3 linked regions of the Caenorhabditis elegans genome follow. The protein of the gene in region 1 interacts with the protein of each later gene in a pairwise test. Each region holds a gene or a part of one and is shown in the gene's direction. Other genes may lie near its edges.

Region 1 (2,964 bases):
CGTTGCTGATCAGGAAGAAGTATTCCATCCTGAAATATTTCAAGAAATCAAACAAGACTTTTGTAGTATTACTCACCCGAACTATTGGCAATGGGGCTAAAAAATCACTGATATCTCGGCTCGTAACTGAGAATGGCAATCCTCTAAGCCTCACAATTGAGTCCGGCCCGCTACTCCGTGGTCCTCCACGATCGGAATATCGATCTCTTGGAGGTGCTCCGCGTGAACGATAATGGTCACGATCTCCACGATCTCCACGTTCACCTCGATCTCCACGCCTTGTTGGTGCTCCACCCGCAGGAAAAACCTCGATGTATCTGCAAACAGTTAATTCGTTAAAAGAAATATTTGAAAGTCAAACCTGCTTCCCAAGTGCTCTCGGTCTTTTTTCAAAGCATTGTTGTAGTCTTCTTCATTGGTAAAAACCACTTTCGCATCACCGCTGGTTCGACCGTTTCTCCTTGGAATTTCCAAGCTTTCGATTCCATTATCTTGAAGAAGATTTTTTTATAACGATTTAAAACACCACTCACTTCCGAAAAAATCTCTTAGCTCCTGTTCAGTGGCCTCCCATGGTAATCCACGACATTGAACTTCATACGCAGTAGACATTTCTGAAAGACAAAAACGGATTTTTCTGATTCTGTTCTTTTTTATCCGTCGAGATCAAATATACGTTTTTGTGGCAAAAATTACAAAAAACTAATACAATTTTCACATAAAAACCGAAAGAAAACAAAGTAACAAAACAAAAAATATTTTTCGATTTAAACTCTCGGCCGTGCATTTGCGCGTAGCGTCCGTTGCAGTGGTCGCAAACACCGATTGTTTACCGTACTACGAACAATAAATGATGCATTTTAATATTAATTTTTCTTTTGTTTCGAGGCTCTATGTACCACCGTTTTCTTATTCTTTTACAATGTATTTTTGAACAAAATTTTCACTTATTTTCTCATCTTCCATTAAATGCAAACAGTGAGTTTATTTGGTCTGAAAATGCTTTGCATCTCCAACGAGTAAGAAAAGCTGTTCTCTGTCTAGCAGCATCTTACAATTGTAAAACTGATGGTTGGCTATTTAAATGAAGTTTTAATTTTTTGGGCGATGAAAGTCTCATTTTGTTTTAGAACTGCAGGATATATTCACGGTTTTTCAAAGATCTGTCAATTGACTTGTCGATAACGAAAAAAATCTAAAATGCTGGCTTAATAATTTAATTTCTCACAGTGAACTTTAATATACATAAATCTTTTTCCGAATATAGTGCCATGATTTTCTGTCTGTCCTTTGTATATAAGCTCCACACTTTGAAAATATAACACCAATTAATGTCTTCATTCCCCTCCATTTCCGTCATCTTCCATATATTCTCACTTCAATTTCCATGTCTTCTTCGTCTTCTCAATTTTCCTTCGTAGGGCTTGTGTGTGAGGTTGTCTCGCGTAAATGTATGCGCCAGAGCGAGAGTGTGTGTGCCAATCGAAACAGCAGCAGCAGCACTCTGCCCTCTACAATGTCTCCATTTTCACTACACTCTTTCAAGTATTGATTTTCAAATGCGAAGCACAAAGCGAGGAGGAGCGCAGAGAAAAGACTGGCAGGGTCCCGCTGGTGCTCACTTCTTCTCTCATTTCTGTCTTTGCTCTGCTCTGCTACTCCTTTTATAGTACTCATTTTTTCCAATTCGACTGATATTGTCAATGTATAGTCAGAAACTTCGGTTTTCAATTGAATAAAATCCATGATTCGACTGTTTTTCAGTTAATTCAACCTAATTTAAACCTTTGCTTTTACCAAAAACCTCTTTTTTTCAAGTTAAATAATGTCAGTCGAACTTATTTATAGGCCAATTTTGAATGTTCTTAACAAGTTTAATTTATAACGTACACTTGCAACTACCCGTTTCTCATAACTTTCTGAATACTATTCGTTCTCCATGGTATTCGCAATAATTCGTATAATTTGGCTTTCAAATACTCTTTTTCAAACGATTCTCATTTCCGATTCAATAAAGAAATGTTTCAGACAAGATGGATAAATCTGACATGCAACGAACCGTCGACTCGCTTCGCAGCCAGCTCAATATTGAGCGTACTCCGATCACTGTTTCGGCAGCCGAGTAAGTTAACGAGATCAGAATGCCCAACTTTCAAAATTTTGTTTCTTTCAGACTTCGTCGCTTCACCGAAAGCCAAGAAGATCCACTTGTGAACCCAATCGACAAGAAGGTTAACCCATGGGCTGAGAAGAGCAAGTGCAGCATGCTCTAAATCATTTATTCATCCACCATCGCTTTCAAACCTCACTTTTGTCATCCATAATACTAATCCAAACGCCGATTTTGTCTTTACTATTCGTCCTATTTATATGATCCAATTTTCGCATTCTTCCAATTTTTTGTAAAATGAAAGCAAACTACTGTGAATAAACTATTCAGATATATACAATTGTAAATAATTTATCATTTGTTCAATTAACTTCGATTCAGAGATCTACATAATTACAACTCGTCATGAGAATAATATGGGTGCAGATGATCGGCTTCTTGAGCAGCTTCAGTTTTGGCAAAAAGAGCATGATGCTTCACAATTTCTTCATAAGACAATTGTCCATCTTTATCATCATCTGAATTTGTTAGAAGACTTTCAGCTTCATAAGATCCAGCTGTTGTTCCATCAACGAGAAGCCAATCGGTCAGCTCGTCGCCGGCCAGTTTTCCGTCTTTGTTTTTGTCATAAACTGTACGGAATCTAAAAATGGACACAAATTAGGAAAAAAAAAATTGAACGACTTTTCTCCGAAGCAGAATAGTTTAGAAATATATTATTTTAAAATATATTTTAAATAAATATTGATTCGAAAGTATTTATATATTGAAAAATGAGTTAGCCTATTTATAAAACCGTATTATTTCAAATAATTGTATTTTCTAAAGTTCTAAATTTTCTTAAACACATGTTT
Region 2 (7,158 bases), on another chromosome or scaffold:
TTCTCTGGGCTGTGTGTTGCTTAGTCGAATCGACTGATTGCCTGACACAATCCGCTTATTTTTTCTTTTTTTTCCCTTCTAGTCCAGAACGTTTCGCCGCTTTTTCATTTCCTGTGCCCATTCACATTTTAGACCCAAACACCAGCCATTAAGCCGTCTTGCGTCCTGCCACGTCACATCAAAGCCATTAATCTTCGATGGCAGTCTGGCTCGGTCAAAATTGGCCTATTTTTGTCTGAGAACTTTGTACAATTTTATTGGTTAAAAATGCTCGCACCACCTGCTGGAGGGCACCAGATGTCCCCTCGCCCAAAGCAATTAGAATTCTGCATTTAGCAAACAAAAGTTGAATCAATAATTCGCAGATCCAATGGTAGGAGAGAGAAAGAGTGAGCCGCGCCTTCTTCGCACAGATATATATTAGCTTTTGTCACGTTTTGCGCTCCTACCTGGGAGAGCCCAAGGTATTTGAACACGGAGAGCAATATGTTCCCTCAAAACTCAAATACCTGTGCCCCATCATTTCCTTCCTTAATTCCCTCATTTCATTCGACATTTGTGGTATTCAGTTTCTTTTCTTTCTTTTTTGTCATTGTTTTGTTCTTCCGCGCCACACACACACACACAGACCAACACTTTTACATTTTTTCCCGCCCGCTCCCCTTTTCCATCCCGCTTGGTCTGCGTCTCAAGGTTTGGTTTCTTTCTCGTACAGTGTTCCGCTCTCACGCCAGTTTCTGAATCGATCTATTGATTTTTTGAAAGTTAAAAATTTTGCTTAAAATTTCTGAAGCTTATGATTTTGGTTTGCAGACCGTCATTCTGTACTTCCTGATCAGCAGCTTGGTCTCACCGTCTTTGCCAAGTTGACGTCGGTCGAGGGGTTTTAATTAAAAGGGTTAGTGATATAGATTTCTTTCTAGTAGGTTTTTCATGTTTTGATCAAAAACATACCTTTAGTTTATTCTTATTTTATTATCTCACCTATAGGGATCCCTAGAGCTAATAATCTACTTCCAAAGTTCCTCTCTAAAGAATTAAATATTTTCCCGTCTAGTTATCGATTTTAGAATCGAACTATTTTATTAGATAAGTAAGACCAAAATGTGTTGTTTTTTCAAATATAGAATTCTGGAATCACTTATTTTTAAATTGAAAAAAATCCATTTTTTTCAAATTTTTGATTTTTACATAAATTACTTGATTACAATGAAACAATCAATAATTTTCTTCATTTTTTGATTGGTTTTCGCATTGAATATTCAATTTAAAACTTATTAATTAATTAATTAAATAAAAACAAAAAACATTGCGCGGCAATTAGCATGTGCTGGCCTACCGTAGTTTCTGCAAACACCGTGACGTCAATATGCACACTGTTGTTTTTCTTTGATTTTCTTTCCTTTTTTGACCTTTTTATCTTATTTTTTCTTATTTTCTCCACAGAAAATCTCTAAAAGCTTCGAAAACTTGAATTATTTTAACGATAAATTTAATTCCTTCATGAAAATAATCAAATTCTTGGAAAAAATCGATTTTTTCTGCTATTTCCTTCAAACTCTTTTTTTCTATCCAATAATTCTTAATTCACGCTTTTTTTTGCAGGCCCAGTTGTCGAGTGCAAGAACAAAGGCCACGAAGACGACGAATAGAGCAGCGCCGCCGTCGAAAACGCGAACACCGACCAGGAGCAGCATTAGCCGCAGCCGCATCCGTCGACACTTCCATCAGTACCATCCTCCGGAGCACGCACCACCACCAGCAGCAAGATGAGCGAACTTGACCAACTTCGACAGGAGGCTGAACAGCTGAAGTCGCAGATTCGGGTGAGTAAATCTGTGTTTTTTTTTATTTTTTAAAATATTTTTTAAACTAATAATTGCAGTAATCTCTCGTTCCAGAGCATGGTCTAGCAATTGTTTGAATATGCGAAATATGAGAAATACACGCATTTATATATTTATACACACACATATACACACATACATATACAAATTGTTGGTAATAAGTAAAGCGCTCCCCTTCCAACGATGCCGCCGCCGCCGCCATCGGCGTTGTTTTTGCGCCGTACTTGAGGGGACGTGCTGCTGCACTGGATGTGTATAACACGATGGTCGTCGTCCCCCAGCCGTCGTCGTCTTCTTTTCTTCTTCTTCTACCCGCCATCGCCGCTGCAAAATATCGATCAGTAGCAGAAGTTGTTGCTCCACACACGCAGGCCGCGGCGAGCCATTGGCCGAGATGGGGTCGCCCCTGGTGGGGGCACTGAGACGAGGAGAAGCTGGAGCAGCAGCAGAAGCAGCGAGCGAGCGAGGAGAATAGATTGGCTGCCTAATGTGAGATTGTCGGCGTCTCCGGCTCTTGTTCCACTATTTTCCCGGGGCCCCGCCGCCGAATGCTCTCAATTTCTGCCGCTACTGCTGGCCAAGAGCACGAGAGAGAGAGAGAGAGATCTCTCGCAGTCTCTCTTCTGCGCAAGCTCCACTCGTGTCGTAGTGCGCCATTCTCCCTTGAGGACTCTGCTGCCGTCGTCGTCGTCGTTGTCGTTGTCATCGCGTCGCTCACTAGAATTGGTGGTAGCTCCTGCTCCGACGAGCACTCACACACACACACATGGTTGTGCGTGTGCGCGAGCACAAAATGTTGCGCGGGGTTTGGTGAAGCTCTCGTGGTGCTGAAAACGGGGTGAGCTGGCCTGGAGCGAGGAGGGGCAGCAGAGATAGAAAATACACTGAATTGGTGTTAATTAAATGCACAAAACATTTATGGAAGTGGAAGATTTTTCGCTTCAAAAATACAGTCCCCGGTCTCGAAGCGACAAATTTTTGTGAAAAGATTACTGTAATTTCAAATTCGGGAATTTTCAGCAATTTTCCATATTATGTGGACGTCTAAAAATGAGAGGTTCTGATCCCCCATGTCGATTTACGGGGCACTATTGCATCATCTCAAACTGTCCATTTAATGTGTTTAATGTATGCAAAAATATGTAATAACAGCCCGTAAATCGACAATTCGTGGCGAGACTCATGTGGCAAAAAACCTCATATATATCCGTCTAGATAATAGTTTTTCTCTCGATTTTATAAAAATTTATGTTTTTTAGTTGAAAACTATGAAAAATCGATGAAAATTCCTAGAGTGGAAATTACAGTAATTTTTATAAAAATTTAAGGCCCGAATTTACAGATTTTGAAGTAAAAAGTTGTAAAAACCAATAATTTGAAGTTTTTCATAATTAAAAAAAAAACAAAATAAATTAATTTTTTGCAGGAAGCCCGGAAATCAGCAAATGACACAACACTGGCCACCGTCGCTTCAAATCTGGAGCCAATTGGCCGCATTCAGATGAGGACGAGACGTACGCTTAGGGGACATTTAGCCAAGGTAGGGCTTTCAGACTTTTTCTAGTCATAAAATCGATAAATTTTGCAGATTTATGCAATGCACTGGGCATCAGACAGTCGCAATTTGGTGTCAGCTTCACAAGACGGAAAGCTCATCGTTTGGGACTCGTACACCACAAATAAAGTGAGTTTTTTTTGACGATTTTCAATTGTTTTTTTTTTGATAAAAAAAGAAAAAATTTAAAGAAATTAATTTGCATTTTTTTTCCAGGTTCATGCAATTCCCTTGAGATCATCGTGGGTGATGACTTGTGCCTATGCTCCATCGGGATCGTTTGTCGCTTGTGGAGGTAAGCTGAAGGATTACTCATTGTATTCAAATTTTCCGGAGAGATTACTGGGAAATCTGGGTTTCTATTGAGAATTTGAATCTCGTAAATCTACACGAGCAAAATTCAAATTTTTTAAAATAAAAAGTAACAATTCTCAATTTTTCCAGGTCTCGACAACATTTGCTCAATTTACTCGCTGAAAACACGCGAGGGAAACGTGCGGGTGTCTCGTGAGCTTCCAGGACATACTGGATACTTGTCGTGTTGTCGATTCCTTGATGACAACCAAATTGTCACCTCTTCCGGAGATATGACTTGGTGGGTTTTTTTTTTGAAAAATTTCATTTTTTTTAATTAAAGAAAAATCCTATAAAAAATCATAAATTATCAACTAGTTTCTACTTTTCATTTTTTTTTTTCCGCGTAATTTGAGCATCAGTGTATAGCCAGAGCACACAAAAGTAGAAGAAGTGCGAAGGAGAAATTCGGATGTTGAATGTTGATGAGTTTGTTTTCAAACTGGGCTCTTTTTGTGCCGCTTGATGAAATTGAGGTGGAGAGAAGCAAAGAACGTGTGAATAAAAGACAGAAAGAGCACAAAAGTCGGCCCGCGAAAAATGTAAATTTTCGGACTTCAAAATTTTACAAGTCTATTGTTAAATTGTGATCTCTAGACGTGTAGTTTGTACTTTGAAAAGTTTAAAAAAATTCCAGTTTGAAAATGTAAGAAAGATTTCAGATAACTTCCAAAATTTATCTCGTGATTCTGCAAAATTTCAGATTTTTTAAAGCCACACGCTATTTTCCGATTGGGTCTCGCCACGAAAAAAAAAGAAGTTTGTAAAGTTTCAAATTCTAAAGTGCAAATTGCATTTTAGAGTTTAAAATTTCATTTTCTACACCAAATTAACAAATCTGAGAAATTTGGCGCCTGTAGCGGCCACTATGATCGTGGCGAGACCCACTTTTCAAACCGGCATGTGCCTTTAACCTCTACCATATCATATAATATCACTTTTTCGTAAATTATCCTAATTCTCCAATTTTTTTTCCAGCGCTCTATGGGACATTGAAACCGGACAACAGTGCACCGCGTTCACCGGTCACACTGGTGACGTCATGTCGCTTTCACTTTCTCCAGACTTCCGCACATTCATCTCAGGAGCCTGTGACGCTTCGGCGAAGGTATAGGATTTTTGAAAAGTTGATTTTTTTTTAAATTTTTTAAATTTCAGTTGTGGGATATCCGAGACGGCATGTGCAAGCAAACGTTCCCAGGACACGAGTCAGACATCAACGCTGTTGCCGTAAGTTTTATTATTTTGAAGATTTTTCAAAAAAAAATCAATTTTTTGCAGTTCTTCCCATCCGGAAACGCGTTCGCCACCGGATCCGACGATGCGACATGCCGATTGTTCGACATTCGTGCTGATCAGGAACTTGCCATGTATTCTCATGATAATATTATTTGCGGAATCACTAGTGTCGCATTCTCAAAATCGGGTCGCCTGTTGTTCGCCGGATACGACGACTTCAACTGCAATGTTTGGGATTCGATGCGACAGGAGAGAGCTGGTGAGTGCCTTTAGCTCCTTTTTTTGAAATTTTCCAAGTTGAAAGTGATGAAAAACTAATTGTTCTTCCAATTTCAGGAGTATTGGCTGGTCACGATAACCGAGTTTCTTGTCTAGGAGTCACCGAGGACGGTATGGCCGTGTGCACAGGATCATGGGACTCGTTCCTCAAGATCTGGAATTAAGAAACATCAAATGTCTTCCTTAATTATTCTCCAATTATTGATTGAATGATGATGACACTACGTGGCAATTTTTTTCCCCATTTTCCCCAATTTTTTTCCGCTCTTGAAACCCCCCTGTTGTTCTCATTCTTTCGTCGCTATCCGCTATCCCGGCGCCCTCTTCCGCGTGCCCGGATCTCTTTTTCTTCTCTCACCTCTTCTCATCGCTTTTTGTTCGGTACTTTCTAGTCTCTCTTCAATCGCCCTCCCCATATTACTTTCCTTGACGTTTGTTCGAATTTTCTCATCAATTTTTTTTACTATGTGAAAATTATTATTATAGCAATTCTCAACTCTCTCTCTCTCATTTATTTTTATTTCACATTTTCTGTGTCTCCCCGCCCCCCGCGAAGCTTAATCTTTCTTCCTCTTTCACCACTCACTTTAGTCACAGACACATACACATGCGCGCGCTCTCTTTCTCTCCCCGATCGTATTCTACTAACATGATATTCATGCTACGACAAAAAATTTTATATATATGTAAGACAAATTTGTGCTCGGCGAGCAAGATATACAGTGATGGAGCCACGCGCGCGGAGTACAATTTTGAAATCGAAAAGCGAACGCCACGCGCATCACTAATCCTAAAACCCCCACATCAAGAAAAGCACAATATGAGATCCATTCTAATTATTATTTCCTCCCGATATATAATTATTTAAGCTTCTTTTTTTCTCTATTTCTGGTATCATCTTCTCTCATTTCTCGTCTTCTACACTAATTTAATTGACTCCCCCCACAAATCTTCACCTCTTTTTTTTGTCTTCTATGTATCCCATCGATCCCTTTCCAGACCGTTTTCAACTTTTTCACACACACAAAACCCCCTAAGTTTTTTTTTCTAATTTCTTTTAATTCTCCTACCACCGTGATTTTGTAAGTTCTTCCGATCGCAAAATTAAAGATAAAAAAGTTCTCATTTATTCGGATAGCTGCCACTTCTTTTCCTCTCTTCTCCCCCTCAACCCCCCACATCTGTTTAATCCATCACAATTCTTGAAAAATGAACATCCCCCATCCCCCCATCTCTTCTTTTCCCCAAAACACCCAAAAAATCTTATTTCCCTTTTTATTCTTTTTTATTGTTTCAATTTCCAAATTCTTATAAATTGCTGGAACCTTATAACCTCTTGTGAGCTCAGTTTTTCAGACATTTATTTCAAAATTATTATCATTGTTCTCCTAACGATTAGAAGGCCTTGTTGAACAGGAACGATTGGATGATGTGCTCGGCGACGGCTGGCTTGTCGGTTGGTACCATGTGTCCGGCTCCGCGAACAGTGGCGAATGTCACCTGGGATCCCTTGTACTGTGTCACGTATCCACCGATTTGACCCTTCACAGTGAAGTGGGTCTTCTTCTTGGAGAGCTGGAAATTAAATTATGGAATTTTTACAAAACATTAAAAATCTTGGGTCTCGCAGCGATTGAGAGCTTATTGTTTAAAAATACGGTACCCGGTGTCTCGACACGACAATTTTTATGAATGCAAAACGATGTGCGCCTTTAAAGAGTAATATTTTCAAAAAAATAATTTTCGATGAAAAATCCGCAGCAACGGAAGTTTGAAACTACAGTACTCTTTAAAGGCGCACAGCTTCGCTCATTCAACAAAAATTTATCGTGTCGAGACCCGGCGCCGTATTGTTTGGAAAAACTTTGGGTCTGGATAATATAT
Region 3 (4,905 bases), 560 kb from region 1:
CATACAAACTAAAAAATTCAGTAAAAATAGCCAATATTTCAGTTTAGTCTCATCTCCTATCATTGCCCAATCTGCTCCTGTTCCAATTCCTGTCAATTATGATAATATTCCTGGTAATGCTAATTATATTCAACACACTCGTCAAGCTCCACGTCAAATCCACGTGGACTCATCACCAAGAGATTCTGAAATATCTCGTGTCATGGTTCCTGGTGATCAGGTCATGTTCTCTGCTGAAGATCGTTATTATACCTCGTCGACGGCTCCGGCAACTGCTCACCGACCTGATGCCTACAATGTTTCTCGATATTAATTTTTCTGTCTTTCACTTTTTCTGCTTGTATATTACGCTTGAATAAATATTTTGAGTCTTAAAATTATTGGCACTGAAACTACCGGTGTACAAGAAGTGTCTTACAGCTACAGCTAGTCTAGATTTCTGGTTTTAGTGGGGAATTTATTTAAACCACTTCTATAGTGATAACATTGTTAATTATCAATATCATAGTAAAGCTTTTCAGAAAAAAGTTGAATATGTTTATGCGCTGTCGAAAAGTGGTAAATTCTCATTTTCACACATCATAACTCTGCAAGTAGACAGAAAAATATGTTTTATACGAGTTTCCTATTTTTCTTATGCCTTTTTTTATTATAATATTGTAGGTTTTAGAGCATTCCACAATGCTATTCCCTGCGAAGGATAAAGTTGCAAAAATTTGACAATTTTCCATAACTTATTTTTTCAAAAAACCTAAAACGATTGTGGGACTTTTTAAACTGGTTTTACTCAACTTTTAAGCTAACCTAGCACTTTTTTATAATTAATTTCACTTCACAAAAACCATCAAGACATGTGCATTGCCTAATTTTAACTCATCCCGTTCTTCGAGCCACTCTCTTTTCCACATCTCTTCCGTCTCTTTTCATCTTTTTCCCAGAAACCGCGACGCGACCGCATTGCATTCTCTTTCCATTGCAAAAAGGACCGCTCGGCAAAACGAGAAAAGAAATAGAGAAAATAGTGAAGAGGGAGAAGCGAGACATAGCGGAGTAAGGCACGCAAATAGAATTCATTGCACCATGATTTCGGGCCCTCGACGGCTTTTTGTCGTGGCGAATATAGTTTTGTCTTAATCAATACCATCAAATTTATGATAATTTAATGATAATGTAGCCACATCCATCCTATTTTTGAGCATGTTCAACAGAATAACTTTGCAAAAAAGGCTTTTACTTTTATTTTTTATAAACGTTACTTATAAAATGTGTGAAACTCCGATCATTGCAAAACCTTAGGCAAATATAAATTAATAGTAATGGTAGTACGATATTTTGAATTACCTTATCAACATGTTTTTGGTTTAAAATCAAATTCTTTTTACATTGTGCTCGTTTCAATTGTGCCAAACTGTTGTCTAATTTGTTGTTTCAAATAAAAAATTAAAATCCAAAATCATGTAAATGATCTTGATCTTCCTATATATTTCTTACATTTCTAGGCATGTCCTTTAAGAATTTGGCTACTTCAAACTTATTTTTTTAATAGCAATGTTTCAGGAAAAATGTGCCTCTAAACCTCAAACAAACCGCCCATCTCTAATTGTTCTATTCAAATTCATTTTCTTCAACCCTCAGTCTTCTCTTCCTTTTTTTGCATAATTCGTCTTCTGATCTCAAAAAGAAACGCAATTTGAATGAGCACCATTGCTGGAGAATCGTCTTCCTCGTCGAAAATGCCAGAAAACTCTCAGCCAACAACAACCGAAAAAGGGTATTTGTACATTTTACATTACAAAGGGTTACACTACATTATTTCAGATCGGAATATTTAGAACAATTGGCAAATGAAGCCGAAGAGCTTAGAAAGAAATTGGATCAAGAGAGGCACAAGCTTAATGACATTCCTAGTAAGTATTTGAAAAAAATTAAAAAGATAATTTATTAGAATACTTCAATTTAAAAAGAGGGACTTTGAAGAAGAACACTACTAAAAAATTGAACTTTACAATTCCTAGGTTAGAAATCCTCCGGAGTCTTTTTTCTTTGTTTTTTTATTGAAAAAATAAACTTTTGAATTAAAAGCTCACAATCAGTGAGGATATTGAATAAAAATATCAATGCGGTTCTTCATAACCGAATATTATAATTGCCCAAATATCAATACACACCAAAAATTACGTCTAAGTTTTGGTAAATTGTCAAATCTAGGTGAAGTTGGACTTTTTGAGAACTTGTTTGACTGAAAAAAGTTGAAAAAAGTTTTTGAAAACTTTAAAGAAATTTGAGTTAAATAATTTGATGAACAAAAAGATACCAGATATGCTTTGTGATATTTGCATAATTCTAAATGTTTTCTCTTTGACTTTTTTGAGGTTATGCCTAATTTACTATTACCAAGAACTACAGTAATCCCAAAACGCACTAAGTAGTTTTTTACATCCTAAGTAATTTTCAGTTCAACAAGCAGCCGAACGACTTGACGTTATGGGAGCTCTTGGTGTAAAACAGCGTCGAATTTTAAAAGGACACGTGGGAAAAGTATTATGCATGGATTGGTCATTGGATAAAAGACATATCGTCTCTTCATCTCAGGTTGGTTTAAAATATGACTTACAAAAGATTCAGTAGTCTTCAAAAATTGAAACCTCGATTTCTAAAATGAATTTGCTCAAATTAGTAAATTTTAGGACGGGAAAGTGATTGTATGGGATGGATTTACTACGAATAAGGAACATGCTCTTACGATGCCAACAACTTGGGTTATGGCATGTGCATTCTCTCCATCGAGTCAAATGATCGCTTGCGGGTAAGATTTCTTTCAAATACTTCAAAGCTTTCAAAAAATACAAACGGTAGTACACGGACTTATAGTGTTCATGAGAATTTATTGTTTTTTTTTTCAAATTATAAAAGAGCTCTTACAGACGGAATTTTCAAAAATTGGCTCATGTATACTTTACCAATTTTGAAGCTTTCATGTTATTAATTAAAAATTTTTATTATTATTTTTTGAATTTTCAAAAATTCCAATTTTACAGAGGACTTGATAATAAATGCAGTGTCGTTCCACTTTCTTTTGAAGATGATATAATTCAAAAGAAAAGACAAGTAGCAACTCATACTTCTTATATGTCATGTTGTACATTCCTTCGTTCGGATAATCTTATTTTAACTGGAAGTGGAGATTCAACATGTGCTATTTGGGATGTTGAAAGTGGACAACTTATTCAGGTTTTTTATTCTCGCGAATCGGAAACCCAATTCAAAAATTCAGAATTTCCATGGTCATACTGGTGATGTATTTGCAATCGATGTTCCAAAATGTGATACTGGAAATACATTTATTTCCGCAGGAGCTGACAAACATTCTCTTGTATGGGATATTCGTTCAGGACAATGTGTACAATCATTTGAAGGACATGAAGCTGATATTAATACTGTTCGATTTCATCCAAATGGTGATGCATTTGCAACTGGATCTGATGATGCTACTGTAAGTCACAAGTGTTTAAACTTCTTCATTATTGAAAATTGGAGAAGGGATGGGAAATTATGGAAGCCTTGCACGACCATGTGTCGAATTACGCAGCTAGTGTACTCCTCGAGAAGAAGTGACAATATGCCCACTTCTCCTCGGGGAGTACACGAGCTGCGTAAATCGACACATGGCCGTGCAAGAGAATCTTAATTAAATTTCACGGTTATTCTTCCATTTTTCGAAAATTATAGTTTGGGAGAAAGTCGCGAGAGTTGCTTGTTTTGTCTGAAAATATTACTTTTTCCAGTGTCGCTTATTCGATCTTCGAGCAGATCGTCAAGTATGTGTGTATGAAAAAGAATCAATCTTGTTCCCCGTAAATGGAGTCGATTTCAGTTTGAGCGGTACGTTTAAATCTTCACAAAAACGTATAGTCCAAATCAATTCAATGCATCTCTGAAATTCACAGAACTAAACTTTTCACTCTAACTATTAAAAAATTACAGGTCGTATTCTATTTGCTGGTTATGGTGATTATCGTGTCGGTGTATGGGATTCGCTGAAATGCGCCCGTCATTCAGTACTTTATGGACATGAGAATCGTATTAGTTGCCTCCGAACTTCTCCTGATGGAACAGCCGTCTGCTCGGCGAGCTGGGATTGCACAATTCGCATTTGGGCTTGATTATTTAATATTAATTTTTCTCTTACAATTTTTGAGCTTTATGTCACTTTACTCATCCCCCTTCCCACCAGTCTCTATCCCTGTACTATTATCTAACCATCCCACTATTTTCTCCTATCTCAACTTTCTAGTCACAAATACTGTAAAGTACTCGTTCATTGCTGAATGATGTAAATAGAATTCACTAAATACACCTGTTAAAATACAATTCAAAAAGGCAAGGGTGAACTGTGAGGAAAGGAAAATTACATAACAAAAAAGAAAGAAGTGTGGAAAGTAGAGTATTCAATGAGCAACGTATGGCAAATTATCAGAGAATATTAAAAGGAAGAAATTCAGTGAATTGGTTATAAAGAGAAAAGTGGAAATTTTGATAAAACTGTTGCCCCGAAGATTTGATGAAGAAATGTGAAAATTATAAGTCAAATACTTATGCGCAGCAGAAGCATCTGACGCAGTTGATGATGATCGAGAGAATCGTGCAGACGGCAAGGAAGAGAAGAAGAACAGTAACCCAATCCTGAAAGAAACAAATTTAGAAATTAACATATTTAAATTTCAGCAGATCTTTTGAAAAATGAATTATTACCTGAAGACGGAAGCAACACTGATCAGCAATCTGTCCGCAGCACTTGAAGTACCAGAAAACGTTCTCTTCTGGGCAAGCTTGTCCGACAACTGGAAGTGGGCATGCCAATGGACTCCTTCTGATCGTGAGTGGCTCAATCGATTTGACGTAGTC

What was found. Proteins that work in one complex are often made in the same cells at the same time.
Region 2: the proteins of gpc-2 (region 1) and gpb-1 interact in a two-hybrid assay, tested with the Caenorhabditis elegans proteins (one study listed by BioGRID).
Region 3: the proteins of gpc-2 (region 1) and gpb-2 interact in a two-hybrid assay, tested with the Caenorhabditis elegans proteins (one study listed by BioGRID).

What each region holds. Positions count from the first base shown.
Region 1 is NC_003279.8:6,755,735-6,758,698, forward strand, and holds gpc-2 (G protein gamma domain-containing protein), read left to right. Parts: upstream 1-2,028; 5' UTR 2,029-2,033; coding exon 2,034-2,122; intron 2,123-2,173; coding exon 2,174-2,273; 3' UTR 2,274-2,444; downstream 2,445-2,964. Other genes in the region: hrpf-1 (RRM domain-containing protein), read right to left, coding at 1-29, 77-317, 362-491, 534-612; calu-2 (EF-hand domain-containing protein), read right to left, coding at 2,504-2,753.
Region 2 is NC_003280.10:11,742,259-11,749,416, reverse strand, and holds gpb-1 (Guanine nucleotide-binding protein subunit beta-1), read left to right. Parts: upstream 1-1,766; 5' UTR 1,767-1,769; coding exon 1,770-1,826; intron 1,827-2,356; exon of another isoform or gene 2,357-2,494; intron 2,495-3,273; coding exon 3,274-3,387; intron 3,388-3,435; coding exon 3,436-3,531; intron 3,532-3,618; coding exon 3,619-3,697; intron 3,698-3,846; coding exon 3,847-3,997; intron 3,998-4,734; coding exon 4,735-4,864; intron 4,865-4,914; coding exon 4,915-4,986; intron 4,987-5,037; coding exon 5,038-5,254; intron 5,255-5,331; coding exon 5,332-5,438; 3' UTR 5,439-6,606; downstream 6,607-7,158. Other genes in the region: Serine carboxypeptidase ctsa-1.2, read right to left, coding at 6,670-6,849.
Region 3 is NC_003279.8:7,317,738-7,322,642, reverse strand, and holds gpb-2 (Guanine nucleotide-binding protein subunit beta-2), read left to right. Parts: upstream 1-1,557; 5' UTR 1,558-1,694; coding exon 1,695-1,771; intron 1,772-1,818; coding exon 1,819-1,907; intron 1,908-2,455; coding exon 2,456-2,592; intron 2,593-2,687; coding exon 2,688-2,806; intron 2,807-3,038; coding exon 3,039-3,231; intron 3,232-3,274; coding exon 3,275-3,493; intron 3,494-3,785; coding exon 3,786-3,882; intron 3,883-3,984; coding exon 3,985-4,163; 3' UTR 4,164-4,353; downstream 4,354-4,905. Other genes in the region: F52A8.3 (uncharacterized protein), read left to right, coding at 48-313; F52A8.1 (DUF2650 domain-containing protein), read right to left, coding at 4,594-4,683, 4,753-4,905. UniProt on the Caenorhabditis elegans protein: Guanine nucleotide-binding proteins (G proteins) are involved as a modulator or transducer in various transmembrane signaling systems.